Linked DNA regions of Mus musculus: all the other regions are reported to be linked to region 1. Evidence: microRNA targets listed by miRTarBase, many of them from high-throughput screens and not tested one by one. Region 1 holds a microRNA gene; each other region holds the end of a gene's coding sequence.

Region 1 (3,261 bases):
AGGCCCCGGCCCTCAGGAGGTAAAGCAAGGGACCACTCAGCACAAGGGCTCTTGCTGCCCGCCTCCTCTTTGACTCTGTGGATCGTCCATCCATCTGCTCACTGTGAAGATGGAGAGGCAGTGCGCCCTGAGGCTGTTCAATAGCTTTTCCATATTTTTTCAACATTGAAAAAATAATTTTTAAAAACTGTGATATTTAAAAAAAAAAAAATCATTTGGCTGGAGGGAAGGGAAAAGGGAAACACCAAAAGCTGTAACATGATTAACTGGAGATATTTATAACTGGGGCACTTTCCAGACCAAGACAAATGAATTGTTTTCTGGACCCGAAAGCAGCCAAATTTTAAGACTGTCAGTGACAAAAAGCTGAAGAGAGGCCTCCATTTCTCCTCCTTTCTTCTTTCTGTCCCAAATTCTCTCATTTTCTCTTCTAGCTTCTCTTGGTAACTGTCCAATGGACTTCATACTTCATGCAAAATCCCGCGCATGCACGCGAGCGCGCACGCATGCGCGTGTACACACACACACACACACACACACACACACACACACACACACAAGCAAAAAAAAAAACTATTTTTCTTAAGGATTGTGGGACTAAATTTAAAGTCATGTGCCTTCATTTTTTTCCCTTTTATAGTTAAATGAACCTCTTCCTTTTTTACAATGTGTTGGGTTTTGTTTTGTTTTTAGTAGAAGGGGAAGGTTAAAGTGTTTGTGGAAGAGAGGATTTTTAGGCATCAACTGGGAGATTTTTTTAGCATATTCCCCCACTAAATATTAAACACAAACATCTCAATCCCTCCACGTGTCACTGTGCACACTTAGAGCATCAAGGAATCAGAATCCGACAGCCTAATCCACTTGATTTTAGAGAAGTTCCTGAAATTTCTATTTCCTAGACTTTTTTATTGTTCTTATTTTATCACAGTGAGGTGAGCAAGGCAAGTTGCCTCGTTCTCCCAACTCGGTGCTTCTGCTTGTGGGGTGGGGGTGGGGCGGTATAGACAAGGGTGCACTCCTAAAGCTCTCTGGTGCTGAAGGGCCTCAAGGTTGAGTTTCTTTCAGAAAATGTGTATGGCACACTCTCAAGTGCACACGTGAACGGTGTCATGCGCACTATTTTTAAAGGACAAGGGAAGGGGCTCTGAAGTGGGTTTTGCTTTCTCTCATGACATTTGATTTCCCTGGTGCCTTATTCCTATTCTATGCTGGCACTCACATGCCCACAGGAACACACGCTGATGTCAGCCCCAGGAGTGAGGACCTCTAGGTGACAGTTGAGCATGTGGGGACCATCGGATATTGGGGTCAGTTGGTAGGGGAGGAACTAGATGGCTGAAAATACACAGGGACTGCACAAGCCCATCACAGTCAAGATTAGTAATGCTCATATGTGAGTATGTGCAATACATGCACACACAAACACACACACAGACACACACAGAGATGCACACACAAACACCAAATACACTCTTCTTCCTCTGAACATTGCTTCCTTCTTCATTTCCTGTCTTTGCCTTCTCATAAAGGTGCTGCTTGCTGCTGCTGCTGAGGTGCCCGGAGTCCAGAATGCCCAGTAATCACTCAGGCACAAGCCTGGCACTGCCACGTTCAGTCCTTGGCAAGACCAAACCCTGGTTTCTCTTGCCTGGGGCTGAAAACCGTCAGATTTTTCTCATCAAAAAAAAAAAAAAAAAGTTATCCAAGGAATCAGTGGATTATAGTTACTCTGCATTAAAAATGCACTTTAAAAATAAATAAAAGCTCCAGACTGTTTAAAACACACAGAGGGAACAGGAGAAAGATAAACGTGCTAGTGTCTGAACCCAGTTCAGCATATCTCCAGTTGAAACAGTATACACTATATTATGTATAAATGTATACACACTTCTATATATGTCCACATATATGCGGTGTGTGTATTATACAGGTATAGGTGTGTGTGCACGCACACAGGTGCACATAGCATATCAAGTGTTCATTACAAATCCAGATGCTCATTTCACAAACAGCAGCAGAGGAAACAAGGTTGGACTCTTGCAGCAGATCACAAAACAATAAAAACAGCCACTTGCGGTGACGCTGGTCACTGCTGTGTGTTCATAAGGAATGGATTGTAACAAAGGAAAACAAGGAGCAGTGTTAGCAATTGAGGAAAACTGGGACAGACCATCTTGATCCAATGGGAATGCAGTAATGTTCTCTACCATTTCATCCGTTCTTTCTGTTAGTCGTGACGATTTGATTTTCATTTTTGCCTATTAAAAATGGTTTAGATTCAAGTGACCACATCCAAGTGAACAAAACAACCACAGTGAAAGTCCTTTTCAGTAGGAAGATGTCAGAAAACTCAAAACCCTTGGCCTGGCTCAGAACTACCATGTGCAAACCAGAACTCTCTCAACGTTTGAAATAAAAACTTTAAAACTCTTTTTGAAGCACCTTAACGTGGCCATCCATTTGACAAGTGGGTGCCACCTTTTTCTTTGAGCACCTTATTGACGTATTTTGCTATCTGCTGTCTTCTGTTACTGTTGGCTGAATAGCTAGCTGTTAACACACACACATGTGCACAGACCAGACATCTGAGCATGCGTGTTCTCAATGACGTTTACCGTGGTGACTGCTGGAAGGTGAACTCATTTTCTGATTTGCCCACCACAGTGTTGTGATAAGACTCGAAGAAACCCTGCCCTGCACGGAAAAATGTCCCTTATCACGTTGTATATTAGGGTGGGAAGGAATATGGTCCCCTTTTTGCAATTGCTACTGTGTATACATACACATGCACACACACACACACACACACACACACACACACACACACACACACACACACTGTATATTCAGACATGATGTACACACACAAACATAACTCATTTGTCCAAGTGATATTTCAGATGTTTCTGTGGGTGTCACACACCATGTGCAGTTTTCCACTTCCCAGAGAATTTTGAGTGGAGGGTAACTTTTCAGACTGATGAACGGGGCACTGAGGAAGAGTTTGAAGTGGGAGGCAAGAAAGGAGAGAGCATTAAGTCAAAAGAATAATTTCCCAAGAGAAGCTGGAGGAATGGCTGTCCTTGCAGGTGGGTGTGGAACACTGCTGTCTCAGTCTGCACTGTAGAAATCCATGCACACATCAACACACACACACACACACACACACACACACATACACACATCCCCCCACAGGGGCGTGGTCTGGGATGAGCAGGTCAATAGTTTTGAGAGGGAGTTTGTTCCTTTTTTTTCTCT
Region 2 (3,261 bases), not on the chromosome of region 1:
ACAGAGTGAGTTCCAGGACAGCCAGGGCTACACAGAGAAGCCCTGTCTCGAAAAAACAAAACAAAACAAAAAAACAAAAAAAAAGAAGAAGAAAAAAATTTAGATAATATTGTGGGAAATAAGGAGTAAATAAAGTGATTACAACTAAGCTAGTAATTGGTGATTTAGTTGATTATTACCATGAAATATTTGGTGTTAGGGTTTATTTGAGCCAGCCATTCCTTGCCGAACATCCCACTGTGGTTAAAATAAATTTTCGGCTGGGGCATGATGCCACATGCAGCACCTGGCAGAAAGACGCAGGAGTACAGTCAAGAGGGACATTAGGAGTTCAATCAAGGTCATCCACACAGCAAGTTTAGAGACCAGCCTGGATCACATGAGACCTTGCTAAATTCCTGCTAAAAACAAAATAAACCCAAGAATTTCTCTATTAAATTATCTTATGACTTGAGCTTTTTTCTTCTTTTTACATTTCCTACTTTTGTAATCAGGTGAATCACAAGGAAAACGCCTTACTAAAGGAACTGAAACAGGAAAGGGTTAGTCTCTAGAGGTTGAAGTCTTCTCTGGGTGGTAGAGCACCTGTTGTTGGGAATTTATTTGGAGTGCTGAGCAGCCACAGTTCCGGTTGAAAAATCAGAAGAGTTGAATGATTGCTTGTGATTTGTATCTGGGTTTTGTTTTGAATGTGCTTAATTAGTTTACTTTTTTACTTTGCCTCTAGATCCCAAAAGGATAATCACTTACAATGAAGCCATGGATAGTCCAGATCAATGAAGGACCAGACTGCCTATTTGTAATCTTTCTGCAGCATTAGAGCCACCGTTCATGTGGGACACAAGGCTTTTATGCTCCTAGATCTTCAACGCAGCAGAGGAACCATAAGTAGAATCACAGGATAATATATACAAATATATATATATATATACATATATATATATAGTTATTTAAAAAAAGGCAACTGAAAGTAATTAGACTTCTTAAGGAATCAAATTTATTTCAAGAGACTACACATGGTTATTTAATCTCCGGTACTGAATAGTCCTTTTCTTTATTATTTTGTTAGTTTTTGTTTTTAAGTGTGAATGCAAGTGATTAATGAATACAGACTTAACAAGCGTGGTTCTAAAGTTCCTGCTGTCATCTACTTGGGCAACAAATGACCCACTGGAAAGGCAAATCCACTTACTTCTAGGTATCTGTACCTTGTTCTGTGACTAAAGTGATACACTAATCACGGGGAACCCAGAATGATTCAACATTTTCCCCTACTCCACCCTTGATCTTTTAGTTTTGAGCCCTGCGAGAATGCTGGATAAATGCCTTGAAGTTTGCAGGGATGTTTTTTGTTGTTTGTTTTTTGTTGGTTTTTTTTTGTTTGTTTTAATACAATGATTTGCATGTCTTGCCAAGAGTTCTGCAGCCTATGTGGGGTGTTGGGGAAATAGTTCCTTTCCTTTTATTTTTTGTTGGGTGGGGACAGGGGGAGGGCATTGAAGTTCTACAATCCTGGAATAGTTTGTGGGTATATAGTTAACTTACTTTGGTTACATGTTTGGACTTTTAACATCTAAGAGTGTCATTCAAAAAAAAGTTGCAGAACAAGTAATTGGCTGATAATTACCCATTGTAATTGTGTAACTGGGAGCAAAAATATATTCTGCTTTTCTGCTGTAGGTGCTCTGACTTGCTCTCTGTCACTAACACTAAGTGTATACTCTTGTTTTTCATCAACCATTTAAGAGAAACGTATGTACCTTTCTGTAAATTCTTTTAATTTCAGTTTCTCAGCAAAATCGAAAAAAGAAAAAAAAAATTAATGAAAACTGTCTTGTTTTTTTAGCCAGTGAGGAGGTAATAAATCCTGATTGTAGAAGGTGTGTTTTCAGGCAAATTCTGCTTCTGAGCTTACTTGTTTCTGATTATATCTTAATATATTTTATCATTAGAGCAAGATTGGGTTCCTTTGGTTATTTTTTTCTTTCTTTCTTTCTTTTTTTTTTTTTTTAAGAAAAATAATGTGAAATTCTGAATTTTGTTTTGGGCAGAAAGAGCATTAGCCCTGTCTTATCATCGCATTACCATCCTGTTGTGCTGCAGCTTGTGTATAGCATGCGCGCGCGTGTCTGTGTGTCTGTGTCTGTGTGTGTGTGTGTGTGTGTGTGTGTGTGTGTGTGTGTGTGTGTGTGTGTGTGTGTGTAGAAACGAAGGGTCCAATATAAGACTGGGTGATGTTAGTGGCATAAAAACAAGTTCTCTGGCCTGATGTAGCAACACATCACACACATAACACATACAGAGAAATCAATGTATCCATGTATGTCAAATACAAGTTAAACTAGCAGGGCATTTATACAGTTGCAGTCTTCTAACAAAGGCAAACTGGATCCCCTAGACACTTTTGGGGGAGAAAGTAGTTACTTTTTACTCTTGTTTTCTAAGAAATGTCCAGTTTTGAGCGATTGTAGTGTGGATGGATTTTCTGGTTTTGTTAACTATTTCAGGTTTTTAACAAATGTTCATGAAAGAAGCTATTTGATTTACTGCAGAGAAAAATACTTTTTAGTCTGGATTTCTGCCCTGCTTAGATTTTTTTTTTTTAAGTATAAGCATGGATTGCCAATTCCACTTGATGTAAACAAAACTTTTTATACATAATATATATAATAACTTATTGTATCAGTCCAGGTTCAGAAACTTGTGGTAGGCCAGTTTCAGATAGTTTCATTTCACCTGTAAACTGTATCACTTTTACTGATATTGTAATTTTCAAATGTATAATATGTTTACAGATGTGCCCTGCATTTAGTCGCTTTGTTCCTATTTTGATTTTTTGTTTTTGTTGTTTGTTTTTGTTGTTGAGTCTCCTGCCTGCTTGCCAAAAGCTAGGATGCTTCAGGCCGGTGTACATCAGTGAGGCATCCTTGAGCTTTAAAGCATTGAACAAACTGGAAAATGCAACACGCCACATATTGAACTGAGTCTGTGTTTTGTGTTCTTTTTTTTTTTTTTTAATAAAAATTTTCAGAAAATTTAAAAAAAAAATCTTGATTAAAGAAAAACGAGGCTCCAGTTTGTTTTATAGGTTTTAAAGTTCTGCTGTGTGTTTAATTGCCTTGTGTGACCACTTGTCGCCTTAGGGCTGAATCCTTACCCCACTTTTTTTTAAATGTCCATTTTGCTTGCCTGGAATTTAAAAGTTCTTCTGTTGCACAAATCACAAAAACAAAACAAAAATATATTTCCTTGGTTTATGTC
Region 3 (3,261 bases), not on the chromosome of region 1:
CAACTACAGGAAATTGGATAGACTTGAAAAGAAAAAAAAGAAAAAGAAAAGTGATAAGAAAAAGAAGAAGTTACAGAAGAGCAAAAATAAACACAAGAAACGTAAAAACAAATCCCCTTCCTCTTCCTCCTCTTCCTCCTCTTCCTCCTCTTCCTCCTCCTCCTCCTCCTCTTCCTCTTCCTCCTCCTCGGAGACATCAGATAGCAGCAGTGAGAGTGATAACAAAGAAAAGAAAAGAGAGAAAGAGAAGAGGAAGAAGAAGAAGAAAACCAAATGTTCTGAAAGTAAATCCAGTGACTGTAAGGAGGACAAGCCTAAGAACATGCTTTACGAAGAACTTTCCAGCAGTCACAGTGACAGGGGAAAAGCCCAGGAAAAATTAAGGTTTCCAAAACAAGAGAGTTCTGGGGAGAATAGCATGTGGGTCCATTCTGCTTCTGACCGGACATCCAGAAGCCACCGGCACAGTCCAGAGAAGAAAGGGTCTGACAGAAATCGGGGAATCCGAAGTCGGAGCCGTAGCCGGGCTGAGAGCAGCCGGCGAAGCAGAAGCAGGAGTCCTTACCGTCAGAAGCACAGGGAGGTGAGGAGCCGGCCACACCGGAGCCCTAGTGAAGAGCAGAAGGGAAGAAAGGGCACCAGAAGCCATGGTGAAGGTGACCATAGAAGAGAGCACGTGCGCTGAGCGCCCAGGAGATAAAGGGAGAGGCAGCAGGCTCAACAGAGCTTCGGAGCAACCACCTGGGCATCAAGGACATCTTTAGCAAGGGCTAACATACACATTGTTATCTAATAAAAAAAGTCAATTCATTTTCCATCTCTGTAAACTGTTGTTTCAAGTATTAAAGCACTGTTGTACCACAAGCTTAAGTTTGCAGATATTTGCAGGGAATTTAGGGTATACAAGTAGTTTTTGTTTTGTTGTTGTTGTGGTGGTGGTGATGGTGGTGGTAGTGGTGGTTTTCTTGTTGGTAGTTGTTTCTTCTGCCTTATACCAGATTTAAAATATGTACGTAATTGTGTGATTTTGTTGTTGTTTTGAAACACCATTAAAACAGTGACAGAATCTTGAATAATTATCAATTCAAATTTGTTATTTTAAGATTTGAATATGCTTGAAGCAAAATGTAATCATTGTTGAAACTGACTAGGGTGAATAAAATACTGGATATCAAAAAGCATGTCCTTAAGACTTTAAAAGTATGATATTTATAATTGGATGTCCTGTTATTTGTCTATGTTGGCAAACAAAATCACTTCAAACTTAACAGTTGTGAAAATCAGAATTCTGGCATGGGTCTCACTAGGATAAGATGAAGGCATGGGTAGAATGTCTTCCTTCAGAAAATCCATGGTGCCCAGTTTTGGTGGTTGGCTCCCTTTTCTAACGAAGAGAACTCCCCTGTTTCCAAGTCCTGGAGTCAGTCTGACACTAACTGCACCCTCCTTCACTTGGTAAGGACCCTGTGAGTATAGCAGGTCCACATTTAAGACCAACTGATTATCAACCTTAACTTTGCACCTGTAAATGTAACATATTCATGGCTTGGGGGAGGGGGCGGGGGGGGGGGGTTGGAAACATGTATATCTTGAGGGGAGTGTTATTCTGTCTCCTCCCACAATAGCCTTTCTGGTTGACATTGCAAAGTTTTTCTTCAGGAGGTAAAACATATTACAAAGAAATAATGTAAACTAGATATTTTGTATTTAAAGGTGTATGTTGGGAGTGGAGGGAACGGTTTCTCTTTGAGACAGGGTCTTCCCATTACTATGTAGCTCTTGCTAGCCTGAAACTCACTATGTAGACCAAGCCAACATATAAGGTGTTTTGTTTTTTTTTAAAAACTTAGCTATACATTTTGCCATATGTTCCAAAGGATTAGAAGAAGAGAAAACTATGGAAATTTTCAATAAAAAATGCAGATTATATGCAACTAAAACTTTTTTGCCTATTGTGAATGTATTTTTTTTAAATCAGGGTTTTATTTTTTATTTTGTCTAGTACAAAAATGGTTTAGATAGCCATCACAATTTCCAAGTAGTGTAAGAAAATAAATTTGGAAGGAGTTCAAACTATTCCATATCTAATATTTCTCTATGCACACAAACAGATGTCCTGTGATGTAGCTGCATCTATGATGTAAATAGTCCTTTGATTATGCACGTGAAGGGAACTAGAGAGGAGCTGAACTCCTTCCCATATCCTTTACTATCTCAGCACACCTCAGATCCTACTCCTTCACTTAGAAAAGCATGCATTTGAAATTGATAAAGGCTAATTTACACCGAGTTCATCAGTGTTGCAGTGATTATTTCCTGCCGTACACCTTTTTAGACTTTATAATTTTTGTAATGTCAAAACCTATGCAATACTTACTGCCTTAAAAGAGGGTTCCAAACCAATATAGTGTTCATGAAGAAAAACGTTGAAATGCATCCTATAATTAAGAATGAATTAAAGAAATACACTTTCTTATACTTTTGACTTTCACCAAAATGTGATACCACCCTTAACTTTACAAGGTAGCCCCTAAGGTTTTTATTTTAATCTCTAATTTAATCCTTCCTGTTGAGAATATTAAAACATAAGGGAATAATTTTAAAAGGGCTAATCTTACCCACCCAATTCTAAGAGAAATTTCCCAGTGGTTACAGATCATGTGCATCTGCAGTTTAGGTTTGGGCCTTGGCCACCCACAGATGCTAGACAACCGCAATGGGCCTGTTCTGACTTACAGATGGAAGGGGAGGCATTCTCACACACACAAACATGGAACAACAGCCTTCCCGAAGCTCACTGTGTCTGCATGTGCTGGCGATACTGAGGCATGGGACTGGGCATGATCTAGTAAGTAGCCTAAGAGGAATCCTCTAAATTCAATGAATCCAAAGGAAACTCCACAAATCCAGACATGAAATATGTCATTCTTCTTACCCTTAATAGAGAAAATCTTTTAAATAAATCTGGGTACTCGACACTTTTTCCCTCGATGTGAACCTGTATGCAAAGGTATTGGACAAATTTTGAATTTTAGGGACATGCTCCAATTCTCCCTAGCCTGTTTAACGCAACGGTGACGTGATAATTCCTGTAGGAGGCACTGTCGATTTACAAATGACCAGGGGAAAGCGGGTGGTTAGGTTGGGGTTTGTTTATCTGGATGTCTACATAGTAAATTAGTCATAATTTCTTTTAATAATTGCCCAAATAGGGAGAAGTTGCTGCAGCAGGAAGGCTCACCTTGTAGTGTGACATGGATC

What was found. Region 1 holds the annotated microRNA mmu-miR-568 (AUGUAUAAAUGUAUACACAC, at 1,872-1,891, shown strand). A microRNA usually pairs through its seed, bases 2 to 8, with sites in the 3' UTR of a target mRNA and lowers its output. Matches are read on the target gene's strand: a 7mer-m8 pairs with bases 2 to 8, a 7mer-A1 pairs with bases 2 to 7 and ends in A, and an 8mer does both.
Region 2: miRTarBase lists Nufip2 as a target of mmu-miR-568. Seed matches in the 3' UTR shown: 7mer-A1 at 908-914, 7mer-m8 at 2,354-2,360 and 7mer-m8 at 2,652-2,658.
Region 3: miRTarBase lists Cir1 as a target of mmu-miR-568. Seed matches in the 3' UTR shown: 7mer-A1 at 900-906.

What each region holds. Positions count from the first base shown.
Region 1 is chr16:43,638,794-43,642,054 of GRCm38, forward strand. Mir568 (microRNA 568) reads left to right here and starts at 1,862; the gene lies at 1,862-1,944. It also overlaps a transcript of Tigit not described here.
Region 2 is chr11:77,708,956-77,712,216 of GRCm38, forward strand. Nufip2 (nuclear fragile X mental retardation protein interacting protein 2) reads left to right here. Exons shown (of 4, transcript NM_001024205.2): 4 at 728-3,261. The coding sequence ends at 780. Among named protein-coding and RNA genes, the nearest start is that of Cryba1, 15 kb to the right of the region's middle.
Region 3 is chr2:73,281,784-73,285,044 of GRCm38, reverse strand. Cir1 (corepressor interacting with RBPJ, 1) reads left to right here. Exons shown (of 10, transcript NM_025854.3): 10 at 10-1,173. The coding sequence ends at 685. Among named protein-coding and RNA genes, the nearest start is that of Sp9, 11 kb to the right of the region's middle.